Linked DNA regions of Ovis aries. The protein of the gene in region 2 binds, or shares a complex with, the protein of the main gene of each other region. Links are inferred from orthologs where the notes say so. Each region holds a gene or a part of one and is shown on either strand. Other genes may lie near its edges. The genes, in order: PPIH, TXNL4A and AAR2.

What was found.
Region 1: TXNL4A (region 2) and PPIH share a complex: the UniProt entries of both Homo sapiens proteins name them as parts of the U4/U6-U5 tri-snRNP complex. The link is inferred for Ovis aries from reciprocal best matches to the Homo sapiens genes TXNL4A and PPIH.
Region 3: TXNL4A (region 2) and AAR2 share a complex: the UniProt entries of both Homo sapiens proteins name them as parts of the U5 snRNP complex. The link is inferred for Ovis aries from reciprocal best matches to the Homo sapiens genes TXNL4A and AAR2.

The regions. Positions count from the first base shown.
Region 1 is NC_056054.1:17,160,362-17,165,750, forward strand, and holds the start of PPIH (peptidyl-prolyl cis-trans isomerase H), read left to right. Parts: upstream 1-2,302; 5' UTR 2,303-2,326; coding exon 2,327-2,392; exon of another isoform or gene 2,393-2,727; coding exon 2,728-2,792; intron 2,793-3,083; coding exon 3,084-3,107; exon of another isoform or gene 3,108-3,201; coding exon of another isoform or gene 3,202-3,224; intron 3,225-3,379; coding exon 3,380-3,424; intron 3,425-3,675; coding exon 3,676-3,718; intron 3,719-5,389. UniProt on the Homo sapiens protein: PPIase that catalyzes the cis-trans isomerization of proline imidic peptide bonds in oligopeptides and may therefore assist protein folding. Participates in pre-mRNA splicing.
Region 2 is NC_056076.1:700,480-705,703, reverse strand, and holds the start of TXNL4A (thioredoxin-like protein 4A), read right to left. Parts: upstream 3,063-5,224; 5' UTR 2,984-3,062; intron 2,506-2,983; 5' UTR 2,491-2,505; coding exon 2,338-2,490; coding exon of another isoform or gene 2,259-2,337; intron 628-2,258; exon of another isoform or gene 567-627; intron 269-566; coding exon of another isoform or gene 199-268; intron 1-198. UniProt on the Homo sapiens protein: Plays a role in pre-mRNA splicing as component of the U5 snRNP and U4/U6-U5 tri-snRNP complexes that are involved in spliceosome assembly, and as component of the precatalytic spliceosome (spliceosome B complex).
Region 3 is NC_056066.1:65,347,613-65,352,939, reverse strand, and holds the start of AAR2 (protein AAR2 homolog), read right to left. Parts: upstream 3,509-5,327; 5' UTR 3,287-3,508; intron 497-3,286; 5' UTR 454-496; coding exon 1-453. UniProt on the Homo sapiens protein: Component of the U5 snRNP complex that is required for spliceosome assembly and for pre-mRNA splicing.

The DNA.
Region 1 (5,389 bases), on a different chromosome or scaffold from region 2:
TTCTGTAACCTCATCAACATAGGATGTTATCAATATAAAAAATTATTCTAAATAGTTGGTATAAAACTATACTGAAGGATGATTTCTGCTGCTCCTTCTCCTCCTCCCCTCTTCCCTCCATTTTCTCCTCCTCTTTCTTCTATACCTTCAATTGGAAGTAGAGAGGGAGACCAAATGGAGAGGGAAAGTAACCAGAAGTTATTTTAAAAAGACCTGTTGAGACACACTGAATTTTTATATGTAAACCTTGCTTCCTCAGACCAAAAGGGTGGTCATAGGATATAGGAAATAATAGCTGTGATATTAAATCCAAGCTTTACCCAATTCATTCAATTCATTGAATCCCTACTATGTGCCATTCAATAGTGCACACACCTGTGAAGGCAGATGAGAAAAGTCTCACTTTTTGTTGGCAAACCCAAGTCCCTGTGTCTGCAGAACAGTGAGAACAAACAAATAGAAAAATTAGAAAGAATTTGGAGGAAAGAAAGTTTTATTGCATTAGCCATGCGAGAACAGGTGGTTCCTGCTGGAAAGACCCAAACTTTCCATTAGTTTTCAGGGAATAGTTTTTAAAGGCATCATTTGGGGCTGATGACTGTAGGGTGTATGACTTTATTCTGATTGGTTGGTGGTGAGGTAACAGGGTGACATTCCAGGAATCTCAATCATCAACCTTCTAGTTCCCACCAGTCTGGCTTCTCAGAAGGTAGTTACCATCCTCTACCTGGGTGAGGGCTTTAGTTCCTGCAGCACTCAAAGATCTGTATCAGATTATTACATATATCCCATGAGGAGGGACTAAGGCTCTGTTTTATCATTGAAATACAATTTTTTTAAATTTAATTGTAGTTGATTAACAATGTTGTTAGTTTCAGGTGTACAACAAAGTGAACTAAATTTTATTTATTTATTGCTGTGCAGCAGACAGGATCTTAGTTCCCTGACCAGAGAGCAAACCCATGTGTGCTGGAAGCATAGTCTTAACCACTGACCCACCAGGGAAGTCCCTGAACTATCATTCTGTGACTGCTTTTCCTTTGTTTTTGCATTCCCTCATTAGGAACTATTTGGATCTGCTCTTTGGAACAAGATCCAGGAGGGTCAAGTCTTTCTACAAACAAGGAATCAGGTACATAAGCAAGGGTTTTATACACAGCAGTGTCCTGCCAAGGGCCGGCTGTCTCAATGCCTTTTTCTTTGGTACTCAACAACCTTGAGGGAAACAGGTGGACAAGAAAGGGAACGTTATAGATAGGTTATTCCTAAGCTTTGCAAAGGCACCCGGTTTTTACGAAGGACCCAGCTTCATTTTCATGGAGTTAAACAAGTGTGAAGCAGCTGGTGAGGTGGGGAAACCATATAATTTTGGATGGTGAATGGCATGAAGAAAATCAGTAATCTATCCAAAAGAGTGACAGAGGGCTACTTTAGATTGGGTGCAATGTTCCTGACTAATGACCTGAGATGAGACTTGACCTACAAGACCACTCCGCACCCTCATGAAGATTTAGAAGAATATTAAAGTCAGTTAACAGGCCCTAAATAGAATCCGAGTCTCCGTGACCTAGAGGAACAGGCTAGAGTCCCAGGTAGGTGGCCAGATAATGTAATGTAGGTCTTTTATGTAGCAACTGGATTTTATTCTAAATAAGGGAATCCGGGAGTGATTTATAAGCAGATTCATTTAAAAGCTCTAGCTGCTCTGCAGTAAGTGACTTGGAGATGATGAAAGCGGAAGCTTGTGGGAGAACTGGAATTAAAGTCTAGTGCCTGACTTCATGAAAGTGCTGAATATACTGAACAAGCCTTATATGCCAGGCTGTTCAAAGCGCTGAGGATAAACACGGTTTTTGCTTCCGGGCCTCCAGACTAGTGAAAAGGGGTAAGAGGCCGCACATATGATGGTTCAGACGGTCTTGGCTGCAAAGGCTGATCAGACCCTGAAGACTGCCTAGTCCAAGCCCCGTAGCCTGAGCGAGAATCATCCGTACTGCACTTACTGTATCCAAGTGAATGAGAGGCCCGTGGGCCTCGAGCGAAAAAAAAGCCGAGGATGTCCTCCGGCCTCAGCGCTCAAGGAGACTCAGGTGAGGTAACAACTTGCGACTCGTCAAAACGGAAGGAAGCCCCGGCCACCCACGCAGCGCGCAGCTTGGCATCGAAGGCAGAGAGCTTCCGGGGGCGGGGCCGACCGCCTCCCACCGCACCGCCCCCCCCCCCGGCTCTTCCTGCGCCTGCGCCGGAAATAAACACCTCCCGGCGGAGCAAGATCATAGGATCGCCGGAACCCCGCGCTCCCGACTTCTGCTTCCGGGTCAGAGGCATGGCGGTGGCAAATTCAAGCCCTGTCAATCCCGTGGTATTCTTTGATGTCAGCATTGGCGGCCAGGTGAGGTCTTGGCAGCCAGCCAGCCCGATGCCAAAGGGAACGTGCACGCGGTCTGGCAGGCAGATCACCTCCTCAGGTGTAGCAAACTCGGGAAGCCAAAAAGTGAAATTGAACCAGAACCTACCGACCTGCGGGGCGGGGGTGAGGGAGTAGGAAGAGGAGGAGTCTTGCGCATCCTAGCGCCCGGCTGGTGGAGGGACCGGGTGGAACGGAAGAGTAGGCTACGGAGGCGGAGGTGGGAGAGACCAAGCGGCATGGGGGCCCGAGGGTTCCCTGTTCGGTGAGGCCTTCACGGGCTTGGACTGGGCTTTCTGAACGTCTCTCGCCGGTTGCAGGAGGTTGGTCGTATGAAGATTGAGCTCTTTGCAGACGTTGTGCCTAAGACGGCGGAGAATTTTAGGTAAGATGATGTTCTTTGCTGGATAAACCAAACGAGAAGCTGGGCCTGTCTGTGGAATCTTCTGCCTACCTCTATCCGTTCATTCACCGTCCTTGAGATCTGACTTCTCTGGGTATCTCTCTGAATAGTCTTGACCGTCCCCTTTTCAGTTTATGTTAATCTGTATGCCTGGACGTCTGACCAGCCAGTTGGTGGGCTAGCTAGCGCCGACGTTCCCCTTCCCGCTGAGGTTAGGGACGCTCAGAGTTGTGATGCCATGGCGACTGAATCGTTCACTCTTTTCCTTTTCAGGCAGTTCTGCACAGGAGAATTCAGGTCAGTCTCTGACGTGGTTGACTTCTCTGCTTGCTCCTGAGGGCTGTCCTGAGGCTGCAGTTGAGGGTATTGGGGAATCACCGGCAGGCCTTGTATGACTGGTGACAGTAATAGAAGGTATTACTATGGGTCTGTCCTCAGTTCATTTGCCTTCTTCGTCTCTCTTCTCCCGACCATCTTTAGAAGGGTGTCTCTGGCTCGACTGTATGGTAAACGTGAAAGGCCTATGTTTACCTGTTTACCATTTCAAGTCTCTTTCTTTTTGCTTATAGAAAAGATGGGGTTCCGATAGGATACAAGGGGAGCACCTTCCACAGGTAAGGCCTTTGGCAAGCCATCCTGGGGGACTTTTAAAATTACTATTAGTATGGTTTAGAATTACTTCCTTGGGGGATTAGTCTCTTCAGAGGAAAACAAAACCATAGCATAATTCTTAGTTCTTGAGAAGGGATGCTTTTGTGAACTCAACCATTGATTTGAGGACTGAAGTGATAAACATTATATTTTGAAATTAATGTTATTCCAAACCACACAATCTTCTCCCAGCATCCTTTGTTCTCTGTTTCAGGGTCATAAAAGATTTCATGATTCAGGGTGGAGATTTTGTTAATGTAAGTACTGTTCCTTTCCTATTAAGGGCCTATAAGTTTTGTTTTTGTTGGTTGTTGTTATTGAAGCTGCTCCTCGGGGAACTGAGAACAGTAGCCAAGTTTGCTGGGGGAGGAGGTGGGAATGGGAATATCCTGTGATGGCTGCTACTCGCTGCATCACTAGATAACATATTAGCACTTTGATTGAGTCACTCACTCCAAATCTCAGTCTTTTAGGGCTGGGAACTGACTTTCCCAGCATACCTATAGGTGATCCATGACAGACCCAAATTAACTGGGCACATGGAATTTAGCTAGAAATCAGTTACAGTTAACTTTCTCTAAATGGGGGCAAGTCCCTTTCCAGTGAGTTAAATGCTTATGCCCTGATTTCCCATTCACTTCTGGTATCCCAGTGCCTCGGAAGGTGAGTTGTTATTTTTTTAATCAAGTTCATTAGTGGGCAAGAAATCAGAGAGTTCTGGAAGGATATTTTCCCTATTCACTAGGAGAACCCATTGAATTAATCCTTCATTGCTAAGCATGATTTTTCTTGCCACTGTATGCATCCCCATTTCAAGCTTCCCAACCTTGCAGGGTTCTGAATAAACCACATTTATGCTTTCTTAAACCTACGTTTGTCCATACCCACCCATTTCTGTGCATGATCTTTCTTATTAATATCATTTGGTTAGTCATGTTGCTGTTTTCTTGGATCTGGGAGACATTCTTTATCCTTTACATGTATATTTAGTTTGACTGTTAGGAGTTTTTTTAAGATTTCTATCTTTCCTACCCAGATAAGTTTACAAAGTGGCAGATTTGGGGCTGAATCCGAAACAGATATGCTTTGTATCATCTGTATGATGTTGTAAAACTGGGAAATTTTCCGGAAAGTTCTGGAGTTTTGTTTTCTCTGTTACAACTGAAAAGTAGGGGTGCACTTGGCCTGTGTTTCTCATGTAGCAACATTTGGTTGAGTCAAGTAACAGCTCCCTTTAGACAGGTATGTCCTTATTATTTCACCACAGTTCCCACCACTGGCTTCCCTTCTTTACGTCACATACTCCTATAGGCATTTAAGTTTGCAACCCCTGGCCACGACTGATTAGAGTAGGGCTTGGGGTGACCATATCCTTTTTTATTGGCAAGTAAGAAGGGCTAAGATGCTATTCTCTGTGTTCTTTCTTCCAAAGGCTTCTATACTGCTATATTGTCTTAGCAGGGATAGGACTAACTTCTTATGGGTCATTGCTAGGCACATGTGATCACTTGCTAATTGCTCTAGAGTTAGCAGTTAGTCAGCCAGAAGGCTGTCAGGGAGAAGAAATTACTCAGAGCCACCCTTAGGGCAGAAAAAATAGAATGAGCAAGACGTAGAAGCAGAATTTGAGACCTTCTAAAGTTGGACTAAGAATATTTGCTTGTTTGTTTGTTTTAATAATGTGTTTTAAAAATTTAAAAGATAATGTATTTTTTCTGGTTGCAAAACAAAAGTACAACAATGAAAATAAATCGTCTCAAGGAATATACTCTTGGCATTTTACTTTACAATTGCCCATCTTATTGTTGCGAACATTTGTATGTCAAATATAACTTTTAACAGACTTAAACTTTTAAAAATTTATGCTCAGTCACTGTGTTTTCCCTTGTCACGATCTACTTCCAAAACATTCTTGCTAATAACTCCTT
Region 2 (5,224 bases):
TGGAACTTTATTTTGATAATAATTCTACCAAACTGCAAACATCTGCAAAATCTTTCAACGTATCTCTATGTTTTCAGTACAGCTCAAAACTAATCCAGCATGAGGTGGGGTTGGGGCTGCTGAAGCAGTCAGTCAATAAAACACATTCCAGGAGAATAGTATAATCAAGTCCAGCCTCAATGTTGGAATTTTACTCACTTTAAAACAGCTGGGGTATCCAAACAGAGCTCGTAACAAGATGAGGAAGATCTCCCATTATCTGCCATTTCTGCAGAGGGAGATAGACAGTTAAATTGTTCTTTATACTAAAACCTTAGATTTCAAAAATTCCTGTTGAACGTCCCCAAAAAGGGCTTCCAAAATTATAAACTCATATTCTGCCCTTACACTAAGCAGAAAATAGAACATTAACATTTGTGTAACGCATTTCAAGTTTGCATTTTTAAAGACTATACTATTACATAGTATTAGAAGTTTATTAAAATAGAAATCGGGATAAAAGAAAAAGAATCACTTAAAAGACTAGAGAAAAATACTCCAAGTGAGCCCAATTAAACTGTTCTTACCAACAGGTTCCATTCCAAAAAGAGCCACCTGCTAGCAGTATAGCAATCTGGTCTCTGACCGCTACATAGGGATTAGAAAAGAACAATTCTGGTAAAAGTCCCTAAAAACTTACACTGACACAAAATCTGTCTCCTAGCTAAGAGTATCTTGCTGAGTTTTGCTCAGATATGAACAGCAAACAACCCTCACGCCTCTGCCATTCTAGCCTCGTGCTGAGGGCCACCGGGTCTGGACATCCCCTGATGCTTACTTGTCACCTGCAAGGCAGAACCCAGAACACCCACCTAAGTTACATCAGCGTCCACACAGCAGTGATTCACTTACTGAAACAGGGTCTTCATCCATCATCACTGACTTCTGCAGTCTCTGCCCTTAACCACTGTGGCTCAAGTCATGGGGAAATGACTTCTGGGCACCACCTCACTCCTGACCTCGGACCTGACAGGGAGGACCCAATTGGAAGAACCCTGCTCTCCTGAGTTCCCCAGGCATCTCTTCAAGCTCCCTCAACACCTTTCTGTCCAAGAGGAAGAGGAGGGTAAGGTTATCACCACAGACTCCTGCTCTGACTTGGATCTCCTTGAAGGGATTCAGAATTCCTGGGGGAGCTTCTGGATCTCATCTCAGATCTCCAGGATCAGACTCTCTGAGATGCACTTTCGGTGACAGACACAGAAAGATAGTCCCTAATGTTCAGAGTGCCATCACCCCTACCTCACTCTGCCTGTCCTACCAAAGAGGAGACAGTGAAAATTACTGATGGCAGGTCAGACTACTTTTCAATTCCTAAATACAAACTATATCCTTACACCTGTTACTCTTTACTCAAAGGAGTTATTTTAATCCAGCCCATACTAGCATATCTTACTCCTGTGAAATAAATGATGGCTTCAATGTTTCCCTTATTTTTATACTCTTTAATAAAATGAATAACCTCTCAAATTAACATTGAATATTAAACTTTTTATTAATACCCTAATATTTTTGCCTCTTGCCCTATTACTACAGTTGCAAAAATCTAAATCAAATTTACCTTAAAATACCCATGAGACAATTACAGAAAGAGAATTAAGCCCTAGTTACTCAACAGTACCCTACAATTGCTCTTTATTGTCAGCAAAGGGCCACAGACAACCCCCTGTACTAAATTTAAGGATTAGGAAAACTAGTTCTAACATTACAGTTCTACCTTTTCCCAGTGTTTCCTACACTGGTATCACTCTAAGCTATAAATCAAGTCACTTACAAAGAGCACCCTGGGGTAAAGAAGGGACTCAAAGAAAAAGAAGGGAATTTACTATGTTGTTACCATAGATGTTCTGCTCAATACATACAACAAACAAACACGGTACCAAAAAAAAGTCAAGTTTTTTAAACTAAGCCATTCAAAGTAAGCTCCTACACTCAGCCAAATGCTGCAAACGTGTTTTGCTCCTGGCACTATAGATGTAAATTTTTGAAAACACCTATGAGTTAAAACCGCTATAAATTAATAAGAATCACTTCTTCAAGGAGAGACATCATGAACCTCTTAAAAATTTGAGAATCTATGGAAACTTCTGCCAGTAAGGATATAAGCTATTCTGACCAATTTCAGGGAGCCCATCCTCATACTCCAAGGTATGTCTGTACTTCTGTGAATCCTACTGCTTCTCTTTAACCGGTGAACTGGCTGTACTTTTAATTCTTACCGGCAAAACAACAGCAATCCGACAGGATGCAAACACCAAACCTGGCGGCAGGACGTGACGGGAGGTGTGGCTGCTTTACCTTTTCAGCAATGCTGTACAGAACCTCATCCATCTTCATGCAGGTAGGGTCCCAGTCGTGCCCAAATCGAATGACGACCACGCGGTCTTCTTCCGAAAGGATGGCCTGATCAACCTGCCAGCCATTGTGCAGGTGCGGGAGCATGTACGACATCTTGAGCCAATGGGTCTGCGGGGGAGTGGAGGGAAATCACCGGCCAGTTCCTCCCAGCCCCCCCATGGCACACCCACGGGACCCCCCGCCCCACGGAGCCTCACCACGGGGGCCCCACCCCACGGAGCCTCACCACGGAGCCCACGGAGCCTCACCACCGAGCCCACGGAGCCTCACCACGGAGCCCACGGAGCCTCACCACGGAGCCCACGGAGCCTCACCACGGGGGCCCCACCCCACGGAGCCTCACCACGGAGCCCACGGAGCCTCACCACGGAGCCCACGGAGCCCCCGGCTCACGGGGGCTCACCCCGAGGGGCAGTCGATGCGCCGCCCGCAGGGCCAGGCCCGCGTCTACCAAGTTCCGACCCCGATCCCGCCACAGGAACGCCACTGTCCCCCGGCCAAGAAACCAAGGCGAGGGGACCCCTGGAATCGCACACCCGCGCATCACTCGCCGCCCCCTTCCCACCGTCTCCAGCCGCGCACCCACCTCTGCCCACACCGGACCCTCCCGCTCAGCAGTCCTTCCGGGCGCGGAGCGCTCCCACAGGCCGAGAGCGCCGGCGAGTGAGCCCGCCCGCCCACAGAGCGTGAGCGCCGGCGAGTGCGTGCGCGCGCCCGCAGAGCGTGTGCGCCGGCCAGTGCGTGCGCGCGCCCGGGCCGGGCAGGGGCGTGGACTCCGCTCAGGTACTGGGGCTGAAGGTGGGTTTAGTGTCATGAGCGTCTTAGAGGCGGCGGCTGCTTCAGACCTACTGTGTCTCCAGTGAGTCGGCGTTCAAGTTTCCTCGGTGCGACTGGGACCAGGGAGTGAACGAAGAGGATAACCTCTCTGAAGAAGGGCTCGTCGCCGTTCACTCCCACACAGAGCCCCCTAATTATTTTGGAGGCCCTGCTTTCCAGACGCAAGCACAGTTGCTTTACTTGTGAAAAGCGGTTCATTAACAGAAGAGTACTGGTAAGACGCAAATGCCCCCCAAATAAGTTATTGAAATTAGTATTTCTAAACATTTTTTGTTGTTCAGTTGCTCAGTCGTGTCCGACTCTGCGACCCCATGAACCGCAGCATGCCAGGCCTCCCTGTCCATCACCAACTCCCGGAGTCCACCCAAACCCATGACTATTGTGTCGGTGATGCCATCCAACCATCTCATCCTCTGTCTTCCCCTTCTCCTGCCCTCAGTCTTTCCCAGCATCAGGGTCTTTTCAAATGAGTCAGCTCTCCGCATCAGTTGGCCAAAGTATTGGAGTTTCAGCTTCAGCATCAGTCCTTCCAATGAACACCCAGGACTGATCTCCTTTAGGATGGACTGGTTGGAACTCCTTGCAGTCCAAGGGACTCTCAAGAGTCTTCTCCAACACCACAGTTCAAAAGCATCAATTCTTCAGTGCTCAGCTTTCTTTATAGCCCAACTCTCACATCCATACATGACTAATGGAAAAACTGTAGCCTTGACTAGACTGACCTTTGTTGGCAAAGTAATGTCTCTGCTTTTTAAAATGCTGTCTAGGTTGGTCATATTGTTATCGTAAAATTTAAATAGTATCAGTTCAGTCGCTCAGTTGTGTCCGACTCTTTGCGACCCCATGAATCACAGCACGCCAGGCCTCCCTGTCCATCACCATCTCCTGGAGTTCACTCAGACTCACGTCCATTGAGTCCGTGATGCCATCCAGCCATCTCATCCTCTGTCGTCCCCTTTTCCTCCTGCTCCCAGTGCTTCCCAGCATCAGAGTCTTTTCCAATGAGTCAACTCTTCGCACGAGGTGGCCAAAGTACTGGAGTTTCAGCTTTACCATCAGTCCTTCCAAAGAACACCCAGGGCTGATCTCCTTTAGAATGGACTGGTTGGATCTCCTTGCAGTCCAAGGGATCTCAAGAGTCTTCTCCAACACCACAGTTCAAAAGCATCAATTCTTTGGCGCTCAGCTTTCTTCACAGTCCAACTCTCTCATCCATACATGACCACTGGAAAACCATAGCCTTGACTAGACAGACCTTAGTTGGCAAAGTAATGTCTCTGCTTTTCAATATGCTATCTGGGTTGGTCATAACTCTTCTTCCAAGGAGTAGGCGTCTTTTAATTTCATGGCTGCAATCATAAAAGTTACCATTTTAGCTATATAGTTCAGCGGCATTTAGTATGTTCATATCATTGTGCAGCATTACACTCCAGATACTTATTTCGTTTAAAAGCTTGTTGAGATATTATTCACATACCATTTGTGGCTCAGTGGGTAAAGAATCTGCCTGCAGTGTGGGAGCCCTGGGTAGGGAAGATCGCCTGGAGAAGGGAAAGTCTACCCACTCCAGTATTATGGCCGAGAGGATTCCATGGCCTATACATGGGTCGCATAAGAGTCAGACATGAATGAGCGACTTTCACTATGTGGTACTACTACCATCAAGTGATGCACCGTTTTAAAATAAGATGGTTTTTCACAGAGTTATGGAACTCTGCAATCCAATTATGGGTGGGCATGGCAGTCCACTCCAGTATTCTTGCCTGGAGGATCCCCATGGACAGAGGAGCCTGGTGGCCTGCGGTCTATGGGGCCTCAAAGAGTCAAACACTTCTGAGAGATTAAGCAGAGCAGACACAGCAGTTAGTCCCACATCCTTCTCATCCCTTTGGCTTTTGGCAACTTCTAATCTATCCTAGGGCCTTCCCCGCTGGTGCTGCTGCTGCTAAGTCGCTTCAGTCTTGTCTGACTCTGTGCGACCCCATAGATG
Region 3 (5,327 bases), on a different chromosome or scaffold from region 2:
CTCGGGCTGCAGCTTCTCCACGGTGGCCTCGCTGATGAAGCTGGTGAGGGAGATCCACTTCTTGAGCGTGGCGTAGGGGTAAGGTCCCAGGAACTGGTCCAGCTCCTGGAGGTTGGCCCTCATGGCCTCCACCTCAGCTTCTGGGGCTGGGGACAGGTCGACCTCTTCCCGGGCCGCATCCCAGCGTAGGACTTTCAGCCCCCGCTGCTGCAGGTTAAGGAAGAAGCCCATGCGAGGGCCCACCTCCCTGGGATTGGCCTTGTCCACAGAGCTGTAGTGGAGGAAGTGGATGCCTGGCGGGATCATCTTCACACCTCGGAACTTGGGCCCCACTTCCCAGGAGTTGTAGTCAATGCCAAACTCTGTCCCCTTGGGCATATTCAGGATGACCACGGTGGCCCCTTCAAAGAAGAGGCGCCGGGCAAGCTCAGGATCCATCTGCATGGCAGCCATGGGGCCAGGGGTGAGTGATCGAAAGGAAAACTTTTCTATTCCGCTGAAAAAGAAAGAAGTCAGAGTTAATCAGAACCTTGGGAAGGATTCTTCATTTGCTGAGCATTCTCTATGTGCCAGATACTGAGTTAGACCCCTGAAACAATTCAGTTCAGTCATTCAGTTGCGCCCGACTCTGCAACCCCTTAGACTGTAGCATGCTAGGCTTCCCTGTCCATCACCAACTCTGGAGCTTGCTCAAACTCATGTCCATTGAGTCAGTGATGCCATCCAACCATCTCATCCTCTGTCGTCCCCTTCTCCTCTGACTTCAATCTTTCCCAGCATCAGGATCTTTTCCAGTGACATAATTTTCTACCTTAATTTTCATCACAGGTAAAGAAAACGACACTCAAAGAGAAGACAGTTTTTGTTTCTGAGTTTAATGAGCAAGAACACTCACTGCACAGCTGGAAAGACATCAGTTAAAGAAAAGAGACATGTTCAAGACCACACAAGGACCCAGTTAGAACCCGGGTACCCTGCCCTCCAGGCCAGCGTTCTTCCCACTGTGCACTCCGAAGCTCCTTCAGATCTGTGCACTCTTCAGATCTCCTTCTCATAACAGAAGATGAAGGTGGAGAATGCCTGGTTGGTCCACTCTAAAGGATTAGTGTGCCTAAACTGTCTTAAACTATAATTCTGTCTAAAACTTAGAAGATTCGAGAAGCATCCACCCAGTTTCCCATAAGCCTCAGCGGAGGCCCAGAAATGGACAGAAAGTGGAAACGGGGTGCTTAGCATCTAAAATTCACAAGAGTATTGTAACGTAAAATAAAGTAAAATAAAATAAAATAAATAAAATTCACAAAAGGTTTGGGCAGTGGAGAGCTTTTCAACCACAACCCTCTTCTCCTGCATATATACAAATATACATATAAAATATATATATATATATAAAGAAGTCTAAAGTCCAGGGAGTGAAACAACTTTCCAAAGGGTCCACAGTCAGTAGCACCTCTGGACTGCTCACCCAAATGGATCCAGGTGGCATGGCTGGCCTCGGATCAGTATTTAGAAGACCAAGACCTTAGAACATTTATTTTTATCTACCTCTGAACTACCCAAGAGGACACACTGATAAGACTTCTGTAAACAGACATAGTCTCTGTATTTATAAGGATGGGTCCAACATGAACTAATTTTAACAGAACACGTCTAACTCTCTAGTCCCAAGACACCTACCTATTCAATTCAACAAATAACCTTGGAGAGCCTGCAGGATTTTTGCCAGACACGAACAGAAATAATCATGGAGAAGACAGTTACTGCCTTCCAGGCACTTCCAATCCAGCCAGACATATCAACAAGACCACAAAACTTCACAAACAGAAGAACCAGCTGCCTGTTTAATTCCTTTTACTCATTTTATTTAAACAAACAAAACAATACCATGAGGAAAGGAAGACCAACACTTTTCCCAATATGGAAAGGACATATTTTATTGTCTTTACCCAAAACCCACACAAATGATTATGACTCTAAATCAACATTTTTTTTCAAACTGCAAGTCACAATCTGATAATGGGTTAAAAGATCAACTTAGAGGATCTCAACCAACATTGTTTGTTGTTTTTTTTTAAATAAAAGGGCAAAATTTTAAAAAATCAGAGTACATCCTAAGAAGTAAAGCGAAGTACTGTTTTCTGAAGCTTTGTGTGTCTGTATGGACTCTTGGTCACCATGTAAAATGTATGCGTTACTGTAGGTCACAGTGCAAAAAGTCTGAAAGCCACTGCTCTAAATAATTTATATCATCTTACTATCCCCAATCTTGAGTTCAAAAGGCACTTAATATATTTATTAAATGAACAGCTATTGCATTTAGAATAACTGCTCATCAATTAGCCATTTTCCCAGTGGCATCTGTGTGCTCCTCTTTGATAATGCCACTTCTTTCTTTCTACTTCCAGCAGATTGTAATTCTCTTCACTATATCTTCCACAGCTGGCAAATGACCTGGCACAAAGAAGATGCCTTGAGATACAGAGAATCACATCTACCCACTTCTCTCCACCACATCCTTAATCTAAGCTACCATGTCCCTCAGCCAGATTGTCCCTGCAATCCCTTCTCCATCCAAAAGCAGGAGTGACCTTCTCAAACCGCCAGTCTAAGCATGTCACCACCCATACTTAACATCCTCTGAGAGACTTCTCACGTGGCTCTTGGCAAACCAAAATTCCCACTGCGACCTACAAGGGCTGTATGGCCTGGTCCATGGAAACTCCTCCAGCTTGTTTCATATCATGCTTCCTCCCCAAGCTCTGCTGCAGCCACACTGACTCTTTCAGACCCTCAAACAGAGGCTCCCCTGATAGAAAACTCTTCCCTCCTCTCTGTCTCAAACCATTTTTCTGATCTCTGCTTAATATTTACCTTCTCAGCAACGCTTCCTCGACCTGGGGCTAAGTCAGATCTCCTGTGATGTGCTCTCAAAGTGCTTTTTATCTTTCCATTTCACTGATCACAACTGCAAGTTCGCAAATATTAATAGAGGGCTGTCACCTCTAGGAGATGCGGGTCTTTCGTACCTCTAGCACATATTAGACGCTGGCTAAACATCTGTTTTTAATAAAAGCACGATATCCATGTTGTAGATGAGAAACAAAGGCTCGGTTCGTGGAAAAGACCTTACCGAAGATAGAGAACACCAGAACCACGTCAGGCGGAGCCAAGGCCTCCGAGCCCATAAGTTCTAAAGTTAGGAAAAAAGAAGTTTCCCAGGTGCCCCCACAAAGTTCTGGCGACGGCGTATCTGACGGTTACAAGGGGAGCAATAAGAGTAACCCACCTGAAAGAGGCAGGTCGGTCCCACCACCGGCTCAAGACCGGGACGCCACAGTCCCAGCTCGGTGCCCGAGTTCAGGCCCTCCGCGATCCCCAGCCGGAAAGAAGGGTGGCCGGACCACACAGACAACGAAAGCAGAACAGTTGAAAGAGGACAGGAGGCTGCACTCACCGACTGGTGTCTCGCCCAGGTCCAGGGATCGCAGAAGCGCACCGGAAGTTCTCCCTCTATAGCGCCGGAGGGGAACAACAGGGGAAAGGGGCCGGGCGGGTCCCTGGGTCGCGGAAGAAACGGCCCGTGCCAGCAGGTTCCGCCCCATGGAACATTGCCTTTGGCTACTTTGAGTTGCTGGATTTAGTTCTTGAACCCGTGGATAATAACTTTCATCAAACGATGCATTTTATATCCAGGTACAGAAACACATCCGCAAGTCACGGCTTTTCGGTTTCAATCAGTCGTGGTCTCTGAGGTTCTGGTCAAGGTCCTAGCTGTCCAGTAGCCACAGTCAGAGGCTCAGTCATAGTCCTGGTCAGCCGATCTCAATCAGAGTGAGTGTCACAGTTGGCCCTTTATCACCTGGTCTTGCTTCCAACCATACTCAGCTGTAGGGGAGAGCTTCAGAAACCCAGGCCAGAAAGACCCAGTCTAACAGCCGCAGTCACCACAGTGATCCTTCCTGCCATAAACACCCGATATCTTCTGGCAGTGCAGGCCTAGTATGAAATCTTAGGTAGGCTGTATATGCACCTTGAGGCAGGGAACCTGTCTTGTTCTCTGCTGTTTTTCTGGAATCCACACAAAGACCCAGTTCAATTATTAAATATTATGCATTTAATTAATGACAGTGATTCTTTATTAATTAGTGACTTCTATTTTGGAGCCTAGCTCTGTGCTGGGTGGTTGTATCACTCAGGGTTCAATCAAAGAAGCAGAGCCAGCGGGAGGTATTTAAGAGCTTTATTACAAGGAACTGGCTTATGTGATTCTGAGGGCTGCCTAAGGAAATTCAAAATCCAGAGGGCAGGCCCCTTGGGTATATGATATCTAATCCTTGCACTAACCCTAGTAAGCAGACTCGGTATTCCCAACATGCAGAAGAGAAAACTGAGGCTCCGAGCAGTTGCACAGCCAGAGAGAGGCCAGGCTAGAATGCAAACCAAGGTCTCATTGGTGACTGGCTCTTCTTGTCTCTGTGCTGCTGCTCTTTAGCTTGCCTGTCACAATTCCTCAGTGACAGCTGGACATGCCCATCTGTCTCAGTCAAAATTCATCTCTTAGTGGGTTGCAGACTAGACTGGGCCCTGCAGTCACGGTGGATCACAACGAGCTGCCCCAGGATTAGCCAGAGATGGCCTCTATCAGTCACAGTCACGCGTGTCAATCTCAGCCTGTCATGTCAGTTCCATTTCCTGCACGAAGAAGCTCAGCTCCCTCCCTCCCCTCCCCATTCCTGGTCTTGGGCGCTGAGCATCATGGTCTGTTTTCATGACAAGCTCCCTGTTCCAGCTGAACTCACCATCTTCTGAGACTCTGGGGCACTGAACTCTGGGCACAGGCATCGTAGATGTTAGCCCAGGAATCTCACGTGGTGGGTTGCATGTCTGTTCAAATCAGGTTTCTCAACCTTGATACTATTGAGATTTGGAGCCAAATAATTCTTTGTTGTAGGGCAGCTGTCCTCTTGTGTTGTAGGATGTTTAGCAGGATCCCTGGTTTCTACCCACTATATGTTAGTAGCATCCCTCAGTTGTGACAACCAAAAGTATTTCCAGACATTGCTAAATGTTCCCTGGGTGACAAAATCACACATACCCCCGTGTTAAGAATCACTGATCTAAATGAATCAGCCACACTATTCCTTAACAGCTCAGAGACTGACCCTGTATTTATGGGAGACAGACACACAGATCCAGGGTGTGTGGGTACCCAGTGTTTGCAAACGATGTCCTATTTCAGGATCCCAGGAATGACAGATAACTAAAGGAAACCTACAGGGAAAATACGGGGAAGGATTCACAATTGCTTCTGACAACGGACAGGAGTT